2 linked regions of the Xenopus tropicalis genome follow. The protein of the gene in region 1 purifies or fractionates together with the protein of each later gene. This does not show direct contact. Links are inferred from orthologs where the notes say so. Each region holds a gene or a part of one and is shown on either strand. Other genes may lie near its edges.

The links.
Region 2: the proteins of slc7a1 (region 1) and hs2st1 purify together in Homo sapiens (co-immunoprecipitation; 3 studies listed by BioGRID and IntAct, counting the BioPlex papers as one, with this or other methods). This does not show direct contact. The link is inferred for Xenopus tropicalis from reciprocal best matches to the Homo sapiens genes SLC7A1 and HS2ST1.

What each region holds. Positions count from the first base shown.
Region 1 is NC_030678.2:154,474,502-154,479,121, forward strand, and holds the start of slc7a1 (high affinity cationic amino acid transporter 1), read left to right. Parts: upstream 1-1,726; 5' UTR 1,727-1,933; intron 1,934-4,620. UniProt on the Homo sapiens protein: High-affinity, low capacity permease involved in the transport of the cationic amino acids (arginine, lysine and ornithine) in non-hepatic tissues.
Region 2 is NC_030680.2:106,512,508-106,516,328, forward strand, and holds part of hs2st1 (heparan sulfate 2-O-sulfotransferase 1), read right to left. Parts: intron 822-3,821; coding exon 583-821; intron 1-582. UniProt on the Homo sapiens protein: Catalyzes the transfer of a sulfo group from 3'-phospho-5'-adenylyl sulfate (PAPS) to the 2-OH position of iduronic acid (IdoA) or glucuronic acid (GlcA) within the heparan sulfate (HS) chain and participates in HS biosynthesis.

The sequences.
Region 1 (4,620 bases):
AATGAATACTCGTTAGAGCTCTATGTGCTAGACAGGCGTGCAGGTTTCATGCTGTGAATATTTCAGTCAAGTGCCAAACACATTTTTGAACAGTGATACGGTTCCAGGGACACTGGCTGTTTCGTAGGCAAATCAGAAATATAAACACACCGCCTGTTATTTCATCAAACATACATATTCTGTTTGGTTCCTATTCTCCTTACTCAAATGCAATGTTGTGTAACGCCCCAGCGCTGATAACTTCCAATCGGAGATTCAAGGCAAAATATTTGCCAGACTGGGAGATAGGCTCACAGTGTCCCTGTCCTTGTTGGCTGCACATGTCCCTCTTGTCTTCGGCTTTTGTTTTTTACTGAAACGTCAAATTTATATTGGCTTTATTGTGTGGCTGAGAGGCAGCTTGTAATATTCCCTTTACATACTCATCGGAGCCAATTGAATAAAATAGTATATAAAATACAGTCAGGAGTGAAATGTTCAGCCTTACGTGTGTATATATAGTGAATGCTGCACCCCCTATTGTAATATATATGGATATTATAAGTTACCAAAGAGTTTCATGACTATATGGAACTCCGAGTTTACTTATAATATTCTCATATTTTACAACAGGGGGTGCAGCATTTATTATAATACACAAGTTTCAATGAGTCATGACAGAAATTACATCACTCAGCATCGATAATAACTAATGATCACTAAGCACAGTTTATTAGGATATAGTTTACAGGATAGTCAGGGCTGTATTTAGGGCCTTTGCCACCCTAGGCACCGGACCTAAATACACCGTTTGGCGCATAAGTAACATCACATGCACCTACATCATTAAAGTGATGGGCAACCTGACCCCCTTACCCTCACTTATGGAAATCTGTGATGCCTGAGTGCATTTTTATATAGGTACCCGAAGGCCGCCCCCCAAAATCTGCCACCCTAGGCACAGGCACTTGGCTGCCCATATATAAATACATCAGTGGCTCTTGTGTATATTATAGAAATGAATGTATAATTCTTAATGATGTCATTAGTTATAATTGGTGCTCTGCCAAAAGCCTCCTTATGTAATTACATTTGAGAAATGTTGTATCTTTTTTGGTGCAGGAGCTCAAAGGGAAATGAAGGATTTTTCAGTAAGAATCCAGGACTGCAGGCTGAGAACAGGACAGTTGGGAGCTAACCCCAGGCTCAGCTGTCACCCTTTCTTTATGTCAACTCATTCTTGCTGCCATGTTTTCCCTTTACTCTAGAACTGTCATCATTCCTCAGCTCTCTCAGTCTTTATTCTCTTCCTCTGGGGGGGGGGGGGCTATACACTTTAGATATGCCCAGATATATATCCCCATAGGGTTTGGGAAGGATTTTGCCTTTACTCTTTTGCTTGTTTTTGAAAGTTAGACCTGGCAGCACAAACCCCACGTACACTTTGAGCCAACAACTGTAGGAACGATGGCAACGTGAATAATAACTACCCTGGCTCTGTTTCAGTTTTATACAGAAAAGGGGCACCCTCCACAAAGTGTTTAATTGCAGACGTCTAGTAAATATTGGTTTATTACAACTCTAGAGAGCCTGCCTGAGCCTGAACGGGCGGATAATGAAGTAATAAGGCTCTGTGAGGTACCAATCATGCACCGCAGCTCCCAGCCTTACTACTCCCGCTCCGGCCAATGGGAGCGGCGTATGTCAAGGTCACGTGTGAGAAGGGGCGCCCATGTAAGGCTCTGTCAGTCCTAGCCCCGCCCCCTCAGTGACGTGTAGCGGTACCTGCTCCAAGCAAGCCGGGGAGAGAGCCGGAGCTGTGAGTAATCTATTCCGGAGCGGAAGGCACTGTCACGGTTGAGAGAAAGGCTGTACCAAGTGCAGGAGGAGTTCGGTATTTTCCGAGAGCCCATCGTGACCCCCCCCACCGCGTCACATTTTCCGCTCCACAAAGGTAATGACAGCTGCTGTCCCGCCTTCTCTCGCTGCCTGCTCGCTACTCACTCACTGCTGTCGCTTCACAATGTGTATGAATGTACTTATAATGGCGACCCTGCGCCGCCCTGAGGCATGAAATGATAATAGTAATAATTATTGCCGGTACCAGCCGTGTTATGGGCACAAATATACCTCCCCACATGGCATGATGCAATAGCGCTGCCTCTTGGCTACTGGCTCCGCCCCTCCATGTGCCCCAGTCATGTGGGGTCTGCTACAGTTCTACGGGGGATGCTGGGACTGTGTGCCACAGCTAATGATATTTGTATATGATAAAAAAAAAATATATATATATATACGTATGTGTGTGTGTGTGTGTGAAACATTTGCTGTTACAGTGTATTGTATGGATACGCACAGGCTAAATGAGTAGGACTTATGCTGAAAATACATTTTGCCTGGTCTTTAATTTAAAAATATATATTTTTAGTTTTTTTTTTTTATAAGGCAGCAGTTATGATAGGGCTCCTTGGTGCCCTGTGGCCATAGGGGTGTTCCCTTACTTGCGTCAGTAATGGGGTGGGATGGGAGATACCTACATGGAGTCTCTTTGAATTATCTGCTCTTTTTAGCTCTACAATGAAACATATTTTTCATAATGAAAATAGAAATATGTTTAATTCAAACTCTGTTCATTAAAGGAATACTGCAATGGGAAAACATGATTTTTTTTTTCTGCAAAACTCATCAGTTAATAGAGCTTCTCCAGCAGAATCCTGCGTTGAAATCTGCTTTTCAAAACACAAACATATTTTTTATATTTAATTTTGAATTTTCACATGGGGCTAGCCATATTCTTCATTTCCCAGGGTGCCACAGCCATGTGACCTGTGCTCTTATTAACTTTAGTCTCACTTTACCGCTGCGCTGCAAGTTGGAATGATATGCCCCCCCTCCCAGCAGCCGATCAGCAGAACAATGGGAAGGGAGCAAGAAAGCAGTTCCCAGTAGGTATCAGAATAGCACTCAATAGTAAGAAATCCAAGTCCGGCTTGGGACTCCTCCAGTTACATGGGAGTAGGAGAAACAATAGGTTACCTGAAAGCAGGTCTAATGTGTAGCGCTGGCTCCTTCTGAAAGCTCAGACTCAGGCACAATGTACTGAGATGCGCCTACACACCAATATTACAGCTAAAAAAATACATTTGTTGGTTTAAGATTAAAATTTTAAATGGCAGAGTGAATTACTCACGACAGTATCCCTTAAAGCTCGTGTTGAACAAGGGGGTGTACGAGCACTTTATGGCATTAACATGGGACTTTCTATTGGCCCATTTCTGTTGCTTCCAGAATGGTTAGTTAATGGCTACTCATAAATATTTAATGACACTGCTGTGTAACGTGGGACACGTAGGGCAGGGATGGGCCAGGTCCCAGAATCCCATCACCAAGCTAAAGCACTATGGAAGGAGCAACTGGAGTTTTTTTTTGGGGGGGTAATGGGTGTAATTGCTAAATATGAAGGGCAGCAAGTTCTGCCTCTTTGCTGTAGGGGATATGGTGCTTACAGAGTAATGTGCCCTGACTGCCTGACATGAATGGTCCAATGGACACCCCCATCTTTCCTTCTGGGGGCCATAAAAATCCTTTTGAGGCCCACACTTTTCCTACAGCTGTTACTTGGCACTTGGACTGCCCTGGAATAGAGAATGTGACTACGTCCCTAGCTACTAGACCCAACCCACGAGATAGGGCAGCCTAAAAATTGCATTATGTGGGACTCATTACTAAAAAAATCTTCAAAAGAAAGAAAATAATCCCTTTTAGGTGATAAAATTCAGTGTCTTTAGGCCAGTTTGGTGTACTTTGTGTTTAGTAGCTGCTCACCAGCACTCTCCTTTCTGCTGTAGATTGCAAGCTCTGATGCACAAGCCCATCTATCACCTCTTACTTGTCGTGGCTACAAAAATAGACAAAGCTGATCATTTACTGATAATTGTCTCTACATGTGTTTTGGGAGAGGCAGTTCTTAGTACTGTCTATGGCAAGGTATTATCTGGCATTTGTAGCTGCTGCACCTAAGTAGCTCCTTGTGTCTTCACTTGACCTGTCTGGTGGACCTTTGGCTGATAAAATCTGGCCACTCCGTAAGTAGTAAAGTGCAACAATCTTCATTTATCTGAATTAATGGTTTTTTTCAGATTCTTTCTTGCCCACGTGAGATCTCCCTCAGGTGACAGAGCACTGCGTCTGACATTGCCCAAATAGATATTCCTAGTTTGACATTAGCCTACTGATAGCCATACAGGCATATAATTATCACAGATTTGGCCCACAGGCCAGTAATTGGATATTAATTGCCCCTATGTAGAGAACTGCATCAGTGGCCCTGTGTAGTTTGTGTTTAAATCAACCAGGTTGCCAGGCAGATGCCCGTTGGCACGCCCCTTATTTTTGCCCCGTACTCAAGCCAACAAGCAGGAGTGGTCTTACTCCATACTTGGCAACATGGGGAATCAAAGCAGCAATTAGGATGTGGGTGGTTTTTTAGCCTCATGGTTAAACCCCTGTTAGGTTTTATTGGGGGAGGTTTTATTTGTTCCCTGATTGGCTGTTCTACTAAAGGCTCTGTAAGTGAGTGTCCTCGATTGGTGATGCCCATGTCCTCCGCCCTTTAATAATATTCAGTGCCAGTGCCAGCGG
Region 2 (3,821 bases), on another chromosome or scaffold:
TTTATGAACTTTAAAATGCCATTTCCCACAAGATCAATATGTACATTAGCTATATTTTGACTTAAACTGGTATTTTATAAATTGCTGATGTAAGAAATATGTGCCTGAGATCTGTGGGGAGTGAGCTGCAAAAGGATTACTGTAGATAGATGGTTTGTTAGCATTACTTCAGGAGACTGGAAAAAGATTATGCAAAGGCACATAGCAGCACACTGGCTTCTGCTATTTTGTGTTGCCCTTGCTGGAAGTGTTCATTGGGTTGCTGGATTGTTAGATACTGCAAGAACACAACGGAAAGGTCAGTAATCCAGCATTTGAATGCGTGCAATAGAAACAATGAAAACCCTTCACTGAAAAAAGGTAAGGACTTGGCTAATGTCTCAACAAATGGTGAACTGCCCAAACCACCCACGCTGTTAGCCATTGACTTTGTATGCCTGTACCAGCACTTACAGGCGGTTTCCATTAAAGTCAACAGGAGGAGTTACAGGCACCAACAGAAAGGAGAAATTACCTTGTGTGCCATCAGCCTAAAACTGACCACCAACAACATTAGGCTATGGAATTTGATATTCATCTTACCTGATCTTGAAGAGACATGACTGGATTATTTTTGGTTGTGTTTATGTGAAGTACATGGTATTTATTTTTTGCACACAGGTCGTAGGCAATATTTGTGAAGGAAGTGCTGGCAGTCTTTGGAACTCTGTTATAAATTATTAAAATATCTTCATCATCATCAAGCACAATTTCCTGCCGGGTGCCATCCATGGAATGCCGCTGCTCTATTTCTCGTACCTCATGACGTGCTATTGCCCTTTCTGAAATGTAAGCAGAGAAATAAAAGATGAACCTTAATAAATTCTTATGGTTGCCTGGTACAGGCAATTTTGGCTCATTAAGTTACCAGGAGCAGCTTTTTGCCACCCCTGGGACCTCGCTAGGCGCTGCCGCCTGAGGCTTCTCAACCCGCCTATGGCAGTAGTGCCCTTGATTTTGTACCATTTTAAAGCTGCCCATACACTTTGTTTGGCAACATCTTTGTCTGAACTGGTTATATATGTGATGGACCAAATCAGGATGATCTGATTGCTGGCCCGGGCCAACTACTGGATCATACTGTGGGCCCATGGAGATCTGTTGGCATCAATGTGGTCCTTGTCTTGGCCAGTATTGGTAGGGCATACACACACCGATATTATCGTACAAAAACCTTGTTACGTCAGATATTCCTTGCGTGTATGGCGGCTTGACAAGACCACCAATATCGCAAAGGCTGCGGATATCGGTTGTCTCAACGAACGGCCAGGTTAAAAATCTACGTTTAGGGCTGATTCGGCAGGTGGAGGTAGAATTTCTATTGTTTCTAACTCCATATCTGACGATTCAGCCCTGAACGTCAATGGAGGGTGGGAACGATCTTTCCAGCGACCGATGATGGCACAAAATATCGTTACTGCTACATGCATGGCCACCTTTATATGGACCAATAAGGTACTAAAATTGTCTGAGTCAACAGCTTTTATCAGCCTCGGTATAGCCAGCTTTACTGACAACACACTAATTGAAGGAAACTGTTCAACATGACAGAAATAAAAATATATATTCAGTATTGAAATTTCATTTTTTTGCAGTTTTTAAAAACTTAATTAAAAGAGCAAATTTTTAAAATATATCCTTTTATTTAGTTTCCATTTAAGTAAATGCAGGAAAACTCTAATCAGTTTTAAATCAGTTCAGTTTGTGTTATAATCCCAAACAGAGACTATAATTGAATTAAATAGGGTACTTGGGACAATATTTCTTGGCATAATTAAGTTACAACATTACATTACAATAAAGCGTTTTTAAACTCAGTGTTATGAGAATTTATTCTTGCTCTAAAGACTATATACCTTTATTAAGCTTCTGACAGAATAGCGCTCAATTAAAGTTCTGCTTTGCATTAAGCAACACAATAGTGAGACAAAGAATAAGTCAGTGCAGGAAAAGTGGCTAATTAGCTTTATTTGCCAACACTTGGCACAAACCCTGGAAGTTATTTTAGGCAGCTAGCTACATTTTGTTGTAAAGCATTTTTGTTACTAAAAAGTCAGATGACGTTTGCTAAATTGCACCCAGCTGAGCCACAACTATTCTGTCTGGTTATTAAACAGAATGTAAATGGTAAAACCCCTCAACAATAAAACACCTTGATTTTGGAGCCACACACTGTAATATGTGCTGAAAGCCACCTTTTGGGGACAGTGTTTAGTCTGCAAAACTATGTTCTATTCAAAGCAACAGTAACACAAAAACATGTTTTATAATTTGCAATTAACCCAGATATGCATATGACTATAACATCCCATCAAACCGGTTTTGTAAACTAACCAAAGACTACAATTGTATATATGTTCATCTACTTTATTTAGTTTTTTCTTTCTGTCTGAAATTGAAAATCTAAATAAAAATATATTGAAAAAAAATATCTGTTAATACTTAAAGGAGAACTATACCTATACCCCCAGGCTATAAAACTTATAGCTTAACTGGCCTGCCTCGACCCCCACCCTCACCTCTCCCTTTTCACATACTCTGTAACTTGCCCGAAAACTGCCCCTATCGCAAACCCCGACCTGAAAGAGCAGAGCAATGTATCAGCATACCTGGGCGCCATCTTCTGCTCAATCATAGAAGCTTCAGGTCTCGCCGCCGACACGGACTCTGCTTGAGCATGCGCAGTTGGGGCAATCAGGAAATCAACTGCAACTGCGCGTGCTCAAGCAGTCTTAAGGAGGAGTAAGCTTTGCCTGATATTATAGCAGTTTTGGGTTGAATTAAATATTAACTATTTTCAAGTTACTATGCCCAATTTAGAAAGAACAATAAAATAATATTTACAGAAGTGTGAAAGTTGCCACTGATTTAACTGGGGAGAACCATTATGCTTATAGGTCTATAGAACAGCCCCTGAAATGGACGAGTAATGGTACCAGTCATGAATATGTAAGTCTATGTAGACTGCTGCCCCAGCTAAGGCAAACAATGTTGCATATACAGTTCTACTGCCCATCGATGGAGAAGAAAAGGCATAATCATTGGGGGTCTCCAAAATGTTAGGCACCCCACAGGGATTATAACCTCCTAACTTTTCTCTCTATGGTCTGGATGCCCATGTGCAGTAGAGTAAATACAAACAGCTTTTCACTTTTACTCTGTATACAGTTATTATTATTAAGGAGGAAACACAGATAGAGACAGGAAGGCTAGTATTTTTTCACAAAAAGGGGGTAAACCCTAATTGCCAAGTAACAACACATGCTTCTTAAGAGGACCCAGCCCAGATAAAGATGGGCAGTTTGGGACAATTTTGAGTATGCTGTTTGACCATCTGGGCATGTATTATATCCTGCAAAATCCTCGCAGATCAAGGATTATCAGACCTGAGCCTAAGCTCTGCAGCTCATCTTCACTTCCTGCTGCTCAGGTAGTCTGCACAAATGGATGCAACATAATACAAAGGTAGGCTATTTTAACCCCAGTCCAATGGAAGTATTGTCCAGGTCATCCTTTGTATGGCTACCTTAAAGGAGAAGGTAAAAACTAAGTAAGCTTTATCAGAAAGGTCTATGTAAATACAGCCCTAAGCACTCATAGAAATGCTGTGTTGAGTCCTCTATCAAAAGAAACACAGGATTCCTTGTCTTCTTTTTTGTAAACATGTTGTTGGAGTGTCTGACTTCCTCTTTTAGAAAGATTCTTCATTCCCGGGGCCAGAGTCTACTCAGCTCTCTCCTGCTTCCCCTCCGACAAGAATGCTAAGAACTCCCTCCACCCTC